5 linked regions of the Rattus norvegicus genome follow. The protein of the gene in region 3 interacts with the protein of the main gene of each other region in a pairwise test. Links are inferred from orthologs where the notes say so. Each region holds a gene or a part of one and is shown on either strand. Other genes may lie near its edges. The genes, in order: Qki, Exosc1, Dmrtb1, Pkp2 and Rbfox2.

Region 1 (3,519 bases), on a different chromosome or scaffold from region 3:
CAAACAGTACAGTACACTTAGCAGTCAGTATACTTCTATACACTCCTTTATAAATTACCGTTGCTTTGTAGTATTACAGACTAATCCAAATTAATAGCATCATTTTACTTTATGTCTATGTGCAAAAAGTGCAAGTAAGTCACTGACTGCTAGGCTAAGGTTTGTCCCGGAGGCTGCTGAGACTAAGCATTGGTTAAATTCAGATCTGATGAGGGTTCGGTTAAGACCGTTCTTGAATTCTTAGCCTTTCGTTGGGAAAGCCATACCTAAAGATAAAAGGAAGGGAATTAAACATTAGTCATCAATGAAGATTTGATGCTAATACCAATCTCCTCACTACCACCAACACATATGTCTGCATCTGTTTTGAAGGGCACTGCTTATTTTAAAATAATGTGAGATTTGACACATAACATGCATGTTATCTGTGTGCAAATATACTATAACTTGGGAATTTAAAATAATTTCCTCAGTTCTCCAAAGAGAAATATCATAGTTTTACTGCTTAGGTGGCAAAGCAAGAAATAATAATAATAATAATAATAATAATAATAATAATAATTTCTTACTTGGTACTTATTGAGAACCTTGACAATGTTAATTGGGTATCTGCATATGTATTTTGCTCTTAATAGTGTTGGTTTCAAGTGTGTGTGTGTGTGTGTCTGTGTGTGTGTATACACACACACATATACACATACATTCTTACCAAACCAAACAACATGTTGCTTTACAATGGGGAAATTCTACAGCAGTGCCTCTTGCTGTCTCTAAGCAGTAAACTGGTTGAAAACCTATTTTTCATTTTAGATAAGCAGACTGCATAGAAATGTAATTCTATCTTGCAAAACTAGGAGCTCTTGCACTAACAGTCAGGAGCAGCAGCTGGAAGCTGAGAGCCCTAACTCCTCAGTAACAGATGCTGTGAGTGCAGCAGAGAGGAGTTCTGGGGAAGGAGCATGCACAGGGCCACAGGACAGAGTATTAATAGAAAGGAAAACTTAAATAAGGTTATAGGTTACATGTTATTTTTTTTTTTAAAAATGCTTCAAGTAATGTGCAACAGAACACAGCCTCTTACTAACATTTCTGTGGTATAATTCTGACTTATAATTATTTTATACAATGATTTAGACAGAAAACATGTACAATAAAATGTATGTTTATAAACAAAAGGCACCTAAGTGCATGCACACACACAGATAACATACAGAGCATTGTGGCTTTCTTTAAATGAACAATGAATTTTCAAGTTTAAATCTCAATGTCCAAGTTCATTAAAGATTTTCAAATTAATATTAAGCCGGGATCAGGAGGGAACCTTTAAAGATCAAAGTCCTAGGAGTCAACAGCAGGCACACAGCACCAAGGTCATACACAAAAAGGTTTCAGATTCTGTCTGGTAAAACAGTGGGGTTGCACAGAAACATTTTTTTTTGTTTTGTTTTTTTGTTTTGTTTTCCACATTGACTGGTCGTGTTATAACAGCTGCTGTATTCTAGTCCTTCATCCAGCAACTCAATGGGCTGAAATATCAGGCATGACTGGCATTTCAATCCACTCTATAAAAAAAAGGCATCAGTAATGTCTTTTTCAAGAATATTGCTTTTTGATCATGTAAACGCATGAATTTATATGACTTCAATTTTTGCCTCCAACATGATTGAATTTACTAAGTTGGTATGTGATCATCTAATCCACAGTCATATGGAAATTATAAAATACTGGTCATGTTGACCAGGACTTTAAAAGATATAAGCTGAAAACCCTTAAAACTACAACTATCAACTGCATCCTTCAGGTGATCATAAATATTTAAACACATACAAATAACAGACTTTTAATAAAAATATCAATATATTGATAGAATTTTAAAATTCACCAAGCAATCTGAGACAAAATAAACCTCATTTTGGGAGGTAGAACTTTGTCAATTAGGATAATGGGGCAAAAATGACCTAAATAAAACTCAGGAACAAGTTTAGTCACCTAAGAAACATCTCACTGAGACTATGCATGGCCAGTTTCCCTACAGTGATCCTGAGACACTAAAGGAAATTAACCCAAATTAAGGTGTCGCTACTTAATGGGGAGAACCCTAGTGAGGAACTGAAATAAAACCTATTTAGTTTTCAACTTTTGCTAATTAAAACTTACAATGTCTTTCTGAAATTGATAAATATCCTTTCAAAGTCTGCGGTGCCAAAATTTAGGAATGCATTAATCACTCAGGACAGAAATCATACTCACCTAACACACCGCTGGGTTCAATGGGGTACTCAAGGATTGACGTAGCTGGTGCCAACGTGTAGGGGTACTCATAGGGTGTGTAGATTAACCCAGCTTCAGGCCCTGGAGGGACTATTGCAGCAGTTGGGTGAGGAGTTCCGTTTGGCATGACAGCGGTCTGAATCTGTCTGATCAAAGGCATTATGGTAGGGCCAGCTGGCGTGGGTGTACGCAGAGCAGCTGGTGGGAGGACAGGCGCGGGCCCAGTGATGATCCTTGGAGCAGCCTGGGCAGTTGCTGCAAGAGAAAAGGCAAGGGCTGCTACAGTAAGCAAAGAAATTTAGAAAGAAGTATAGGGATAGCAGTAATAAAACATGAGGAAATGAGAGGGAAGTAGGAAAAAGAAAGGAAAAAGCAGAAAAGAAGAAAAATAAAAGGAAATCATTAGTACATGCATTGACCACACGGAAATGCCAAAGCACATCAACCAAGTGCAGTCAGCTTCCTCTCCCCAACATGATCAACAAATGCAAAAATAAAAACCCACTGTAAAAATCAAAAAAAGATCAAGTCCATTAAATGTTATACTTTTCCTATCTCTGCTGATATATCCATTTACAACATTTTGAGAGACTAAACTGCATCCAAAAAACCCCACAAGAGAACATTCCAATTAAAAGATGCAACAAAGTAGCAGGAGTTGAGTCCACACACTGTATCTCCAAAGTACAACTCTGTTCAAGGAAAGCTCCCTGGATAAGTCAGGTAAGTCAACACTGACATCATGTGTTCCCAGCATGCTAGGGATTGCTGCGTGAGGAAGAGAATGCAGAAACAGCCCTACTGCTAACTCCATGACGATAAAGAGTACATCAGAGCCAACCACAGCAAGCACTGCTGAACTCAGTGCTGCCTATCTTGGGAAATTTGATTATAAGTTTAAAATTATTCGTGTGTGTGTGTGTGTGCTTGCTCAAAATATGTTCAAATAAATGACATGTAAACCGTAGCTCAACTCAAAACAGCAACTATTCTCTCACACAGCTTATAAAATTATGCCACAATCCATGAAAGGGAGAACGTAGTTTGAAACATTCTCCCTCAGTGATCTCTGAACTTGCATAGGAACTTTTAATAGCGAACAACACGAGTGCAAACATGCAAGCAGGGGAAAGGAAAGACCAGAGCAGCAGCAGGGCCATTTCATTACACTTCAAATAAAAAAAACTTTCAAAAGTTTGTCCTTTGACTAATGTCACACACACAGACACACACACACACACACACACA
Region 2 (4,172 bases), on a different chromosome or scaffold from region 3:
GGGTTACCTTGCAGCCTAGCTCCCCTTTGAGATTCCCCGCCTCCCAAGCACCATTGGAGGAGCGTGCACCTATGCCCTGCCAGCAAAAATTTCTGTGATGACAGAAATGTGATTTCCTGGGGCTGGACAGATGGCTCAGCAGCTAAGCGCACCGGCTGCTCTTCTAGAGGACCTGGATTCCATTCCTAGCACCCATATGGTGGCCTATAATTATCTGTGCCTCTAGTCCCAGGGGGTGCGACACACCTTTCTAGGCTTTGTGGTAGCAGGCACGCATATGATACAGACAAGATAACTATTCACATGAGGTAAAACAAAACCAATCATTTCCTAGAACTGAAGACGTACTTCTGGGGAGTCCATCACTTTCCCACACCCCCCAAACTAAAGTCATATGTCAACCAGTATGGCAGCCACTAACCACAATTTGCTACCGAGTACTTAAAATGTGAATAGTGTTGGGATTGTGGGGTGCAGGATCTCACTCTGTAGCCTATTCTGGTCTTGGACTACTGTTCAATAATTCTAAACAGCATCCAAATACCGAGACCACAGATATTTTATATTTTAGCCTGGCTAAAAATAAATTTTTCATTCTTTTCTTTCTTTTTGAGACAGGGTTTCTCTATGAAGCCCTGGGTGTCCTGGAACTCTCTGCATAGACCAGGCTGTCCTCAAGTATTCACCTGCCTATGCCTCCTGAGTACTGGGATTAAAGGCTGAGTCAACACATCCATCCCTGAGATTGACCTTCTAGCAGTAATAAACTTAAAACACCCTTCTCTAGCTAGGGACTACTGTATTAAGCAGCGGACCACGGCAGTTGTAGGATCTCGGCCTAATCATGACTAGGACCGGCTTACCTTACAGGTGACGACAGCTCCCACATCTGGAAGTAACTGGGACTCTGTCTCTCTCATTACTGATACCACGGGAAGCTGTGGAGAGAATACGAAGGTTAGTGTACTGGCTAAGTAAGCCCTGGGTAAAGAGAACTGAAGGCTGAGGATAATACAGGGGTATCTTACAACAGCCGAGGTCACAAGGGCAGGCAGCCTGTAGATTCATTTATAGCCCATAGCAGAGGACATTAGTCATTTTAGGAAATAAAGAGGATCAGAGGCCATTAGAACTAGGCTGCCAGGTTTAATGTGATCATTCTGATTAGTTGTAAATGACTGAAGACTCTCTTGGGATTTCCTGGTACAAATCCTATTGCTTATAATTATGAATATCCTGACTCTTTCTTCAAGCTATAACTTTTTTTTTTTTTACTTCAGGATTTGCAATTAAATGCTATAGAATGGCAACTCTTGTTTTACTCCAATGGCAACTGGTGTATTATCTTACCTCTCTTGCTCTGTGCTGTTTCCTTACCTTACTAAGTCCCTCCCATTTCACGTTGTCTGTCTAATCCATTCTTTCCACACTCCTCCACCTCTCCTTATCTTCAGGTGCCGAAATATTATTGTCACTATCTAGAATTCATGCAGCCCGTTACATGTTCTCACTGTTCCGCACACTTCTTTTGAAGATATGTTTGTGCATTTGCTCATGGTTTGTGTCTGTCTCCCTGGTAACAAAAGCTAAGTGTATTGGGCTCAGGACTCTATCCCCAGTAGCAACTAAGGGCACCACTGGGCAGGACATCTATGTAGTGAGTAGACTGACAGGCTGAGTTTTATCTCCAAAACCAATAGACTGGAGCCCATTTTTTTTACAAATAAGTACAACACAAAGTGGGAAGTTTGGGTTTTGCCAGTCTCTAAAGAGGGTGTGTTTTTCCCCAGGTCCCAAGCTAGGCAAACGCTGTGCTGATGAGCCACAAGCCCAGCCTGAGGAGGTTTAATTCTTAGTTTTTATAGTCTTACAAATGTCAACCACTGCTTTATCTGAGTCAGTTAGAAGCTGGGAATACACTCGTGTATCACCATGCATGGCTACACTTAAACTTCTACTTGGGCAAGAATCTAGTTATCATGAGTAACATATTTAAATAAGTGCTCCAGGGAAGGTTCTTGGGCACAACAATCCTACTGCCACTAAAACCCCCATTTTCTCAGTCAGCAGGTCCAGAAGGGCTTCTCTGGGAAAGCCATACATACAAACAAAAAACAAAAGGGATTGAGCAGAAGTGTGTTCCAGACAGACAAGTACATGCATTGCATAGGCTTCGAAACAGAGTTTAGTTCACTAAGACACTGAAAATCTCCAGCATTACTACATTGATGTCAGTGAAGTGGGACACAAGAGCCACAAGAAAGCGGAGGTAGTCGAGATGCATGACGGGAAGAAGCTCTCGGCTGGCCGGGCTATTCTCAAATTTGCGTGCTTTTCCCCTCCACCTCCTTCTGTGAGTGTCTCTACACAACTAAGCCAGCCCAACCTAAATGGTGTGCAGCAGGTGTGTTTTAGCACAGCGCTGGGATCAGAGCTGGGAGAAGCTGGGAGACCAAAGCTCTGAGACACCAAAGACAGGTCCTCCCGGTAGTGCCTGTGCCCAAGGACCAGAACTCGATGGCAGCCTGAGAGGTGACGCTCGTTGGCTAGCCGCTTTCTTTACCGCGCCATTCTCGCTGGTCTTCGTCAGGCAGCCAGCCAGCGACGAAAAGATGTAGCCGTGCCGGGTGTAGGTGCCGCTGCCCGGGCTGCCTTCCTCCAAGTTACACAGACGTTCGCCTGCAGAAGACATGTGCCTCAGCTACGAGCTCCCAGAAACTGGCTGCCCGCAGCCAGGGTCTGCCTGCGGAGACCGCTCACTTACCCGGGATGCAGTACCTCACAGGTGGTGCCATGCTTGCCACCGTCCACAACCCGGATGAGAACCAAGACGACTTCTTATTGGTCAACTAGAGGAGCGGCCTCGCAGTTACGCGTGCACCAATTGGCGCTTTCGACCGCGCAAGGCGTAAGAGCGAAGCCTGACTCCATTTCCCAGGCTGCCCCGGGACAGAGTTCTGGGCGTGACTTTGCGGGCTCTGAGACTCGCGCCTGCGCAGCTGGGTGGTGATGGGCTGTCCGCGGGTCTCGGTCCGCTGGCTGGCGCTGCGGGCTCAGGGCCATGGTGGGTTAGCCTTAGCTCGGCCCGGCCTGGGTCCCGAGCTGGAAGGGGAGGCAGTGAGTGGCTGACAGGGAGACTTGGCCTAATCTAGCTGATTGAGAAGCTGGCAGGAGGCAGGTAAGAGTGAAGGCGCGGTTCTTGTCCCCATCCGAGTCTCGGGTGTCCAGGCCCTTAAGTTCAAGTTCCTGGACTCTCTGCGCCCTGCCCTGCGTGGCTGTCCCAACTCATCCTCAGTCCCAACTCGCCCATTTCACGAGTTTGGAGACTCAGATCCAGAGACAAGGTTTGGTTTGTACAAAGTGTCGTAGATAGTTCGAGACAGACTAAGCTTAAGCCTTTTTTCTTTTTCTTTTTTTTTTTTTGACCTGAGCCTATCATAATTGGACCCTGCTGCACCTGGAGACACAACCTTTTTTTTTTTTTTTTTTTTTTTTTTTTTTTTTAAGCTTTGTAAAACGACAGTTTCTTCTCTTGCAGGCAGATACTCTAGAGCGTGAGCTCCTTAACTATGAATGGGCAGCTTGACGTTAACATACCATTCCTTTTGCATTCTTCCATTTTAGCATGTTAGCCGGGAAAGACAACTTCATTAATAGAATATTATGCTTTCTTGACATCAGCTTGATATGGCAAAGGTCACGGGAGCAGCAGCTGTGTCCAGATGAAATTTGCCGTGACTTGATCTCAGTTTCATCTCTTGGCTCTGGAATTTATTCCTATCTCCCCTTCCCTCCCTGTCAGTCAGGCTTCTTTGAGATACAGATGGTGATTTAGGGGAGTGCTGTTGCCTGCTAATCTCTACTCTGGTGGCAGATGGCCACTGTACTCTGTGGATTCTACTGAGAGGTGGCAGGACTTGGGGTTTGGAGGAACTATGCTGGCTTATCCCTCCTCTGTTCATTCAGGTCATCCATGACTTCTCACCACATTTAGATTTAAAGACTTTGTTTTTTTTCTCTGTTTCCCAAGGTAAAACCTTTTCACTTGTGGTCCATTTATTACATCTTTTTCTAGTCTCCTCCTTCTCCTCATATCCCACTAGGCTGGGGGGGGGGGGTCCTGGACCCATTCTTTGTTCACTGGAGTTTGATCAGCAACTATATGCTTTCCA
Region 3 (2,574 bases):
GATGGACCATGTTCCTAAAGGTAGCACCTAGGGCTATCCTCTGACTTCACACACATGCATGCTCACCTTCCCACACACAGACATGCATATACATATGCACAAAAAGAAAATATCCATGTTTTTAAAAATTAGAAAGAAGTCACAGAGTGTACATAAATCTCAAAGGACCGCTGACCCTGTGAGGGGGAAGCCTGAGGCTCCCTATTCAGGTGTCTCAATTAGCAGTGGCAGAGTTGCCAGGCAGACTCTCTAGCTCCTGTCCAAGGGACTTGGAGGATGACGACAGTGGGGTCTCCGGCATGGCTCCTCCTGTGGCTGTAGGCTCCTTCCTGACCAGAAGTCCTGGGCCTCTCATTTACTGAGCACTCTATGAACGTGAGCATACTCCCCCACTCCTTGCCCTCAGTAATCCTGTTCTAACCGCCATGGATTCACACTTATAGACTACGGGGAGGGCTGAGGAATGAGCTCAGCCCACAGCCCCTCTCTCCACCCCCCACTTCAGGTGACCTCTCCCCTACAGTCCTCCCCATCACCCAGAATATCCCTGTCTTACTGGTTTTCTCCTTGTCTGTATCATACAGGATGGTCAGCGAGAAAGACGGTGGAGATGGTGGCGGTGGTGGCGGTGGCAGGAAGTGGAGAGCAGAGAGGTAGCCTGGTGGGAGGAAGTGGGGCTGCTGTGGCTGGGGTGGGGGAGGTGGTAGTGGAGGGGGAGGGGGTGAGCAGTAGGTTGGCTGCAGGTCTCTGGCTGGTTCTGACACCTGTGTGGACACACAGAAGGAGGGGCAGAGAGGGAGACAGTGAGCTGAACTCAGTCACATCTTTTATTTATCAGGGGGTCCCTGGGGTGGTAGATACCCTTCTTGTGCAGGGCACTTGGGACAGGGCGTTCAGCAGACACGGGCTGCATGAACGCAGGCAAGCAGGAATGCAGGCATATCTTAGCTGAGCCTGGGGGCTTTCCCTAGGGGATTTGGGAGAGCAGAATTCTCCAGGGTGCAGAGCTGGGAAGAAGGCAGATTGCTTTCTCTCTGGGCTTTGTCCAACTCTCTTGGGCAAAGGGGACTAGAGGAAGCACACACAATAGCAGTAAATAGGCAGGGACAGGGATGGTGAGGGCAGGGGCACGTGAGTGAAAATAGTCTCCTGGCTCTTAGTTTTAATCCAGACGTGGTGACCGTGGAAGAGGGAATTGTCAGCATTTGAATTCCAAGCTGTCGACCAAGTCTCTCCTTAGAACAAAGCTCCTGCCTAGGCCAGGCTGGCACTGACGGGAGCAGCCACATCTTTCAGGCTGGGCAGGAAATGGTGCCATGGGAGCTGAGAGCTAGATTTGGTGTACGTCTGAGACACACTTGGGATAGTAGACAACGCCTGGGCTTGAAGCCGGGCATCTCTGAATCCATACCAATCAGCCAAGTGTGCTGAATCCCAGGCCTCATTCACGAGCCCTGTGGCGTCGGTGCTCAGTAGAATGAAGGCCGCTCTGACAGCTGCATTGCATGGATCAAGCCTACAGTCTTCCCTGGGTTCCAAGTCTGGGGAGCAGACATCACAGCCCAGGCCCAGTGGTGCAGACCTCTGTGTACTCCGAGAGATACTGTCTATGACCACCGGTCCTCTGGGACTGAGGGCCAGCGGAAGTGATAAGGGCAGCTGGGATAAGGGCGAGCTTAGACCGGAGTCAGACTCCAACTTACCAAGCTATTTCCATGATAGGGGCCGCAGGAGACGTGCCGAAAGCCTCTTTGTTGAGGGACCCCCAGAGCAGAGGATGAATCCTGGCCTTCCGAAAGTGGGAAGGGCTGGTAGGGTGGCACAGGGATGCAGGCAGGGCACTGCTTGAACGGCTCTCTCTCAGGGTACCCAGCTCCTACCACATGATCAGACTTGAATCTCAGAGGATGCCCTAAGAAGATAAACAGAGAGGGAAGTGTTAAGAACACAAAGCCGAGGGGTAAAGCATTGCACTGCTGTCTCCCAGGCAACAGCAAGATTGACATAACCGACCAAAGAAGCCTCGAGAGGTACACTGGGCTTCATTATACTCTTACGCATGCACAGATAATGTATTCTGGCTGCATTCACCCAGTGCCCTCGCATCTCCTCTCCTTGTCGTTGATCCTTTCTGCCCTTTGTCCCCTTTCTACCTTAATGCCTCTCTGTGTATGTGTGTGAACCAGTAAGGTTAGCTAAGGTTACTTTCAGGAACAAGGGTGGTCACACCACCGAATAAAGAGTCTACCCCTTGCTCTATTAATTAACTATTAATTGCCTGCAGATCCTTGGGGGGGGGGGTCCCATGCAAGTAGTAGGCTGCTGTGAGCTGGTGGGTAGGACGAACAAGCTATGCTCGACACGCTCTGCCCCTTCTCCTGGCTCTGATGTTCTTCCCTCTCCCCTCCATGATGTCCCCTGGGAGCTGGTAGAGGGTGATAAGGGACGGACGTCCCACCTAGGGCTGGGCATTTAACAGCTGCTCTGCCGCCCTTTAACCACTTAAAAGTCTAGCAGTAGCTGCCATATAACACTAACAGCAGCACTAGCACACTGGTGAGAGTCCCAGTCCCC
Region 4 (3,519 bases), on a different chromosome or scaffold from region 3:
TTTATGCTAGAGAAAGAAAAGGCAAAGCCAAGAACGGCAATGCAGCAGGGCCAAGAACAATCACAGAGGAAGTGATCTGCCATCAAAGCTTTATTCCTGCACTTGGGTCCTGTGCAGCACTGGTGCACACACACCTCTGGCTCACTAAGGAGGTGACATGCAGACAAGTGACTAGGCTTCCTCAGATTCCTCCGATGAGCACCCACATGGGTGTACATAAGCCTGGATACTGATGCCCATCATCTGCACAGGGAACACGGATTCCACACTGGTGCGACCTGGCAAGTCTCCAGGATGTCTAACAAAATCATATTCAGATATTCGTTACTAGATTTGGGGGATGAAAATAGAAAAGAGTATAAACAAAGCATGCTTTTTGAGGTTTCTTGGGTCAGTTAGTAGAAAAATAGGTGTTTTCTTTGGGGATTTTTTTTTTGTTTTTTGTTTTTTGTTTTATTTTTTCAGTGGAGAATTGTGAAGCTGGAGTTCCTGAGTCGTCTTCTCCTTATTAGTCTTTAAGGGAGTGGGAGGCCTTGGCAGTCCGGCTGTTGACGAAGTCCGTCTTCTTAAACTGAGCCTTTAGAAGAAGCAGACAAAAATAGAAAATATAAAAATTCTCACATAAGAAAATGCCTCATCCACTTGTCAATTGAAGGATATTTAGGTTGTTTGCATTTTCTGGCTGTTGTGAACAGGGCAGCAGTGAACAGGCGTCTGTCTCACACAATGTCCTGAGGACATACGTCAAGGAGTCATAGAGCTGGTCATATAGTGATTTATTTTTCACTCTCTGAGAGTGAAAAATCCATACTGATTTCCAGAATGGCTGCAACAGTGTGCAGTCCCAACAGTGAATGAGGTTGCTGCTTTCCCATAATCCTTACCTACTCTTTTCACTCTTAATCTTAGCATTCTGATGGGGAAAGAGGAAATCTCAAATACTGTTGAAATACTTTCTTGAAACAACCTAAATGCCCTTCAGTTGATGACTGGATGATAAAAATGCAGTACATGTACACATCGAAACTCTATTCACCTGTGAAGAAAAATAAAGGCATATAATTTTCAGGTACAGGGATGAAACTAAAACATATTTTACTGAGAGAGGTGATCCAGACCCAGAGAATCAAGTCACATGTTCTCTCTTATTTTACGGCTCTAGCTCTTAATCTTCATATGGAAGCCTGGAGTATCTGCAGAAGCCAGAAGGAGAAAAGGGGGATCGAAGTTGGGCCAGAGTGAGGCAAAGGTTGGGCTACGGGGCAATAAAGGAAAGGTGGGGTCATGGAGTGAGGGAAAGTTCTTGAATGACAAGACACAGGTGATAGGAAGGTGGAAATGGAAAAGATGGGAACATATTAATTGGAGATTTGGGGGGGTGATACAGACAAAAAGGGAAGGAGGAAGGATAAGGAACACTAAGAACGTTTGAAAAAGCATAGCAAATTATTTTATGTTTATTTAAAATTACATATATGTGTATACATGGATATAGAGCTTAATGACGTTATACCACTTGGGGTGATAATGTTTCCCTAAAAAGCCATGGACTATCTAACAAAACCTCTGGTACTACACATGAGAAACCCTCTTCTTCTTTGCTGGTCAAGGGAGACCATAAGACTCCCAAAGCAACATAAGCCATTACTATTTCCTGTGTTGCCTCCTAGAACTTGAAGGTAAATTCCTACTGCTGAAGACGCCACACACTGTGCACAGAGGACTTGGAGGAAGCGAGCTGGAACTGACCTGGAAGCCTCCTTCTTAAGGAGTGGCTCTCACATATCAGTAGTTGCCAAGGGAGAGGATGATCAATCAGTAGTCGTCGTTCCCTGTAAAGCCTGTGTACCACAACAAGGATTGGACCGACAAGATACGCTCAAATCGTGGTGGTTCTGTCTGGGAGGTGATTAACAACTGTCTAATTGGGTTTCTGACCACTCACTGTAGGGAAATACTGTTTGGTACTGTAAACCCTAGAGAGGTCATATCCCCAAAATTAGTCTACTACTGCCATATCCTAAATCAGTATAATTTCTAATTTGTATTCTAATTACTTTTCCTTAGAGCCACAAAAAGAAGTGTAGCTCTCACTCATCACCAAAGAAGCTTCCTTTTGCAACATACAGAAACTATTACGGATATCTACAACGGATCAAAATGTAGAGAGTATGGGACCATGCAGTGCCCTGCTACAAGTGGTGCATCTGTGATGCAACCCTCTACCTAGAGCCCAGGGAGAATCATGGAAGAAAGGATAGAAAGATCCTATGAGCCAGAGGTTGCTAGACTGTATCGTGTCCCCTAGATATGGCAGGGGAAATGGATCCATGAACTTTCAATAATATAATCATTTGAACACAACCAGCAAACTGGCACTACCAGTTGACATATCAATGTGGACAAAGGAAATTCACATCGCCCTTCTAGATGAAGAGCCACAGGGATCAAGGGAGAGGGAGAACCAATCGTTCCCAGGGATGAACTCCTACACAGGTTGTCAACTGTGGACATGAGCAAAGCTGAGTAGACTCAGTGGGTTCCATATACGCTCGAGTACACACACACAGACACACACACACACACACACACACACACACACACACGTATTCATGCACATATGTATATACATGTAACAATAATACTTAAAGAAGAGAACCTGAATTTGCAAGAGAGGAACCAGAAGGGGAGGAAGAGGTAGAAGTGTTGCAGATACTGTGCTCATGTATGAAATTCTCAAAAAACAAAACAAAACAACAAAAACATGTTCAAGAAACAAAGAAGGAAGAAGAGGAAGAGGATGATGATGAAGAGGAGGAAGAGCAATTTGCTGATTTCTCACGAGGGGTCAGGTTTTAGCTGGTCAGTGTTCTTACCTTCTTGTAGGCATTATGGAGCTCGGTGTGTGCCCACAGAGAGTACAGGAGGACAGAGGCAGCTTTGCTGGCCTTGTTGGGGGCATAGCTGAAAGGACAGAGATGTGTCTGGGTCAGTGAGAATGTGCAGTTTTAGCCATTTCATTCACGTTTCTCAACTCTCTGCTCAGTGTGGCTTTAACAGTTGCCTCAAGCTCACTTTTCAGGAAGCTTTTAAATTATATATATATATGTATATATATATATATATATGTATATATATATATCACAAAGGTAGTGCTAATAAATAAATAATCTATAAAGGAAAAATCCATGGTATTTATATACTTTTTTTTTTTTTTTGGTTCTTTTTCGGAGCTGGGGACCGAACCCAGGGCCTTGCGCTTCCTAGGCAAGCGCTCTACCACTGAGCTAAATCCCCAACCCCTTTTCTTTTTCTTTTTGTTTTTTTTTTGTTTTTTTATTTATATACATTTTTAAGCCATTAATTACTTGTAGACCCTTACATTTATATAGTTATAATACATATTTACAGATTGCGACACAGAAAAACAACTGAAAATGTGTGTGCCTCTGAGACTAAAAAGGCCCTATCGATACAGGCAGAAAACAGTCTTTTCAAGTCAATACATATACTCTTGTG
Region 5 (3,519 bases), on a different chromosome or scaffold from region 3:
TACTGTGCTTGAGAAAACAGAGGCAGTGGCAGCTTGAGAGTGCAGTGTGCATGTCCAGCACCCTTTATACTTGTAAGTTTCAGACAGGATCTTGTTAATGAATCATGGCTGGCTTTGAATTCTCTTTGTAGCTCCAGTACACCTTAAATTATGGCAACCCACCTGCCTCAGACTCCTGGGTTGCAAAGATACAAGCCTGTGCCACCAAGTTCATGAGAATGTTCTTGACAGCTTTTGAGGTAGGCATTATGACCTTCCTTTTCTTCTATTTCAAGGCAAAGGAACATTAAATAACTTGCCTAAACTCATTCTTCTGAGGCCAGGCTGTGATTTAATCTCTAGTCAGCTGAATCAACCCCAAGCGGCTAGCAGAAGAGCTCCGCCCTCCGCCCTCCGCCCTCCGCCCTCTGCCCTCCGCCGGGGAGAACTGAGCACTACTGTACTTTGCACCACTGTGGAACTGCGCTTGCTAACGTCCTTCATGACTGAGGGTAGACATGAAGAGTGAGGATCGGTGACACCTGGCTTTGGCTTAAGTAAAGAGTGAGTTGGTGGGGTAAGGATGCAGAGAAGGCACTCAGAACGCTGCCACATCTGAAATTTGAACAAGAGGAGAAGGAAGCATCACAACACCCGTTGCTGAGTAGGAAAACCAGGAGGGAAGTACAAGTCATTTAAATGGCCTAGAGCGCCAAGGAGCAAGGAGGAGGCTGTGTGAGGCAGCCTGTGAGACTGTGCAGATGAGGCTGGGTGCGGATTCATACAATGGAGGGTGCAGGAAGGTTGCTTCCAGGCAGCAGTGGTGAGGCTTAGTTCAAACTCTGCACTGTGCAGCTTAGGAAAGAACAGTCAGCACATGCACGCTGGGCAACGCATAGCAAGGCTAAACTAACTCAAGGCTTTCTGTCTGTCTTCTGAGAAGGTGAACATTTCACCTTGCGTCTCCGACTTCACATACCGTGAGAGATCCATTCTGGTTGCTGGGTGAATTGCTACTCTGTTCTCCATGGGGCTGTGAACTCCCGTAGAGTGTCAGGTTATGTTCACTGGTCTGGCCGGCATAGTCCTGAGTGTGTGGCACTCCATATTCTGTGGGAATTCCGTTCTGTGGAGGTGGTGGGAATGGGATGGTAGTAAAAGGCTGAACCATTGCGTCAGGAGTTGTTGTTGGCTCCTGGTTACCCTAGAGCAAGCAACAGAAGAGAAAGGAGTGAGTGAATAAATCTTTATCATAAAATGACTTTCAAGGTAAGAACACAGGTCTTTTGGCATGTTCTCTCACTGTCCCCCACTCAGAAAAAAACTGCTGGGATCATCATTCTTTAAAAAAAAAAAAAATCAACTGATTAACTTAATTTTATGTGTGTTTTGCTTGTGAGAATTATGGTACAGTAGTGTGGAGGTAGGAGGGCAACTTGATTCCACATCCTCTTTCAACACGAGTCCCTGGGATCAAACTCAGATTTGGTGATAAGTACCTTTACCTGCTGAGCCACCTTGATAGCCAAGAGTTTAATATTTAATCATCTCTTCCATCTCATTTGGTGTTCTGCCTATACCCATAGTTGGCAGGACATCCTGCTTCCAAGGCCATTAGAGGATTGATTAATACGAAGACAGGCGTGCAACAGACAAAAATTCAAATTCAGGCAGACTAATAGATGAGCAGAGCCTAAGGATCGATCACCTTTCAGAAATCTCCAGAAAGGGTCTATGAAGAGACATACAAAGGTTTAAAGACACAGCTTCCAGGTTCAGATTAGCAAGCAAAGGACTTGCCTCTGGCTCTGACACTGCTCTTCTTGAACTCTAACCTCCATTTTTCACCCCATCCCTGATGGGAGTGAGACTCTGGTACACAAGTATACAGCATGAATCATCCTGTGGGGCTATTTCTGCCAGAGCTGGCTCAGCTAGCTGAATAAACACATCAGCTAGTGGTGGGGATCAGGAGAAGGTAATGCTTTTAGTGTATACCCATAGTCTAAGCACCACAGAGATGCAACCACAGTCAGACTCTGTCTTCTGTGAGGGTTCCATTGGGTGTGTGTGTGTGTGTGTGTGTGTGTGTGTGTGTGTGTGTGTGTATGTGTGTGTCAGGATTTCATTTTACTTAGAGAAATGTGGCTAATAGCAAGACTTAAATAGCTGTCTATATGCTAAGAGAACAGACTGGGGACAATGTTTTATAGCATTTACTCTACCAAATATATTATAATTATTGTTTCTATTAGAAATATGAAGTCATTAACATTCATAATAATAAAAACAATTTAAGAATGTGTTCAAATCAATTTTCAGTCCACATGTCAAAGTTTTAAGTTGAAAGGGAAATACAATGGCTTCCAGCCAACTTATCATAATTGATATGATTACCTCTACATATGTGAAATGCTTTTAAAATATTTGTATTATTTTTAAAATGTATGTATATGTATACATCTGTTATGTCCTTGCAGAAGCCAGAAGACGGCACCAAACATTCAGGAGCTGGAGTAGGTATTGTGAGCTCCTGATGGAGGCAGGAATTGATGGAGGAGCATTACTTACTGGCTTGCTCTGCCCTGCTTTCTTATACAACCCAGGACCACCTACCCAGAGTGTCACTGCCCACAGTAGGCTGGGTTTTCCCACTGTAATCATTAATAAAACACTGGCCTACAGCCATGTTTCCAGGTCAGCCTGACAGGCAATTCCTTAGTTGACCCCTCTTCCCATGTAACTCTAGTTTGTGTCAAGCTGACAGAGACTAAGCAGCACCAATCAGCAAGTTTTCTTATCAAGTCGCGCATCTCTGGCCCCTACGCTTTATACTCTGGGCTAGGCGCCTGGAAAGGTAAATTATTAGTCTTTCTAGGGTGAAGTCCATGTGATGAAGAAAAGAGAAGGTATTTTTTTGTTGTCTTTCCATTCCTTTTTGACTTCATTCTAATTTTTCCATTTGGTAATCTTGACTCCAACTTACAAACATAATCTAAACAGCGGGCTGCAGATCCTAAGGCACCCCAATCAGACAGCCCTCAATCATAAAACAAGTGCTTAAAAGAATATCCCCCAGTTTAACTAGGATGCTAAAAAGTTTTGCTCTTAAGCATTTTACATATTTATTCCCTGGCATTTGCTTAGGTAGGCTTTCAAACTTGGCCTGCCTTTCTAAAACCAACACAGGGAAGACAGTTCAGATGCTGAAGTGCTTGGGGCTGGATAGGCAGAGATAGGAGGATCCCTGGGATTGCTGGCCAGTCAGTCTTGTCAAAAGATGAGTTTCAGGTTACATTAGAGATCCTGTCTCAAAACTAAGGTGGAAAGCAACTGAAGAAGACACTGTATGTCAACTTACAACCTCCACATGCATTCACATATACAGAAGAACATCTGTGTATGCACCCACAGACATAAGACATACATAAGCACAGGTGAGCAGTGAGAAGATGTATGAAGGCTCTCACCCGGGAACCTGAATGAAGAGGCCCATTAGAGCTAAAAGGAAGAAAGCATGGAACAACTGCTACCAGGGCT

What was found.
Region 1: the proteins of Dmrtb1 (region 3) and Qki interact in a two-hybrid assay, tested with the Homo sapiens proteins (2 studies listed by BioGRID). The link is inferred for Rattus norvegicus from reciprocal best matches to the Homo sapiens genes DMRTB1 and QKI.
Region 2: the proteins of Dmrtb1 (region 3) and Exosc1 interact in a two-hybrid assay, tested with the Homo sapiens proteins (2 studies listed by BioGRID). The link is inferred for Rattus norvegicus from reciprocal best matches to the Homo sapiens genes DMRTB1 and EXOSC1.
Region 4: the proteins of Dmrtb1 (region 3) and Pkp2 interact in a two-hybrid assay, tested with the Homo sapiens proteins (2 studies listed by BioGRID). The link is inferred for Rattus norvegicus from reciprocal best matches to the Homo sapiens genes DMRTB1 and PKP2.
Region 5: the proteins of Dmrtb1 (region 3) and Rbfox2 interact in a two-hybrid assay, tested with the Homo sapiens proteins (3 studies listed by BioGRID). The link is inferred for Rattus norvegicus from reciprocal best matches to the Homo sapiens genes DMRTB1 and RBFOX2.

What each region holds. Positions count from the first base shown.
Region 1 is NC_086019.1:53,036,412-53,039,930, reverse strand, and holds part of Qki (KH domain-containing RNA-binding protein QKI), read right to left. Parts: intron 2,551-3,519; coding exon 2,251-2,550; intron 1,563-2,250; coding exon of another isoform or gene 1,519-1,562; exon of another isoform or gene 330-1,518; coding exon of another isoform or gene 326-329; exon of another isoform or gene 267-325; coding exon of another isoform or gene 183-266; exon of another isoform or gene 1-182. UniProt on the Homo sapiens protein: RNA reader protein, which recognizes and binds specific RNAs, thereby regulating RNA metabolic processes, such as pre-mRNA splicing, circular RNA (circRNA) formation, mRNA export, mRNA stability and/or translation.
Region 2 is NC_086019.1:250,691,945-250,696,116, forward strand, and holds the start of Exosc1 (exosome complex component CSL4), read right to left. Parts: upstream 2,805-4,172; 5' UTR 2,796-2,804; coding exon 2,765-2,795; intron 2,680-2,764; coding exon 2,564-2,679; intron 2,542-2,563; exon of another isoform or gene 2,387-2,541; intron 2,344-2,386; exon of another isoform or gene 1,378-2,343; intron 939-1,377; coding exon 864-938; intron 1-863. UniProt on the Homo sapiens protein: Non-catalytic component of the RNA exosome complex which has 3'->5' exoribonuclease activity and participates in a multitude of cellular RNA processing and degradation events.
Region 3 is NC_086023.1:127,675,682-127,678,255, forward strand, and holds part of Dmrtb1 (doublesex- and mab-3-related transcription factor B1), read right to left. Parts: intron 1,913-2,574; coding exon 1,704-1,912; intron 765-1,703; coding exon 557-764; coding exon of another isoform or gene 438-556; exon of another isoform or gene 1-437.
Region 4 is NC_086029.1:98,165,902-98,169,420, forward strand, and holds the end of Pkp2 (plakophilin-2), read right to left. Parts: intron 2,965-3,519; coding exon 2,877-2,964; intron 578-2,876; coding exon 509-577; 3' UTR 73-508; downstream 1-72. UniProt on the Homo sapiens protein: A component of desmosome cell-cell junctions which are required for positive regulation of cellular adhesion.
Region 5 is NC_086025.1:110,746,394-110,749,912, forward strand, and holds part of Rbfox2 (RNA binding protein fox-1 homolog 2), read right to left. Parts: intron 1,184-3,519; coding exon 959-1,183; intron 1-958. UniProt on the Homo sapiens protein: RNA-binding protein that regulates alternative splicing events by binding to 5'-UGCAUGU-3' elements. Prevents binding of U2AF2 to the 3'-splice site.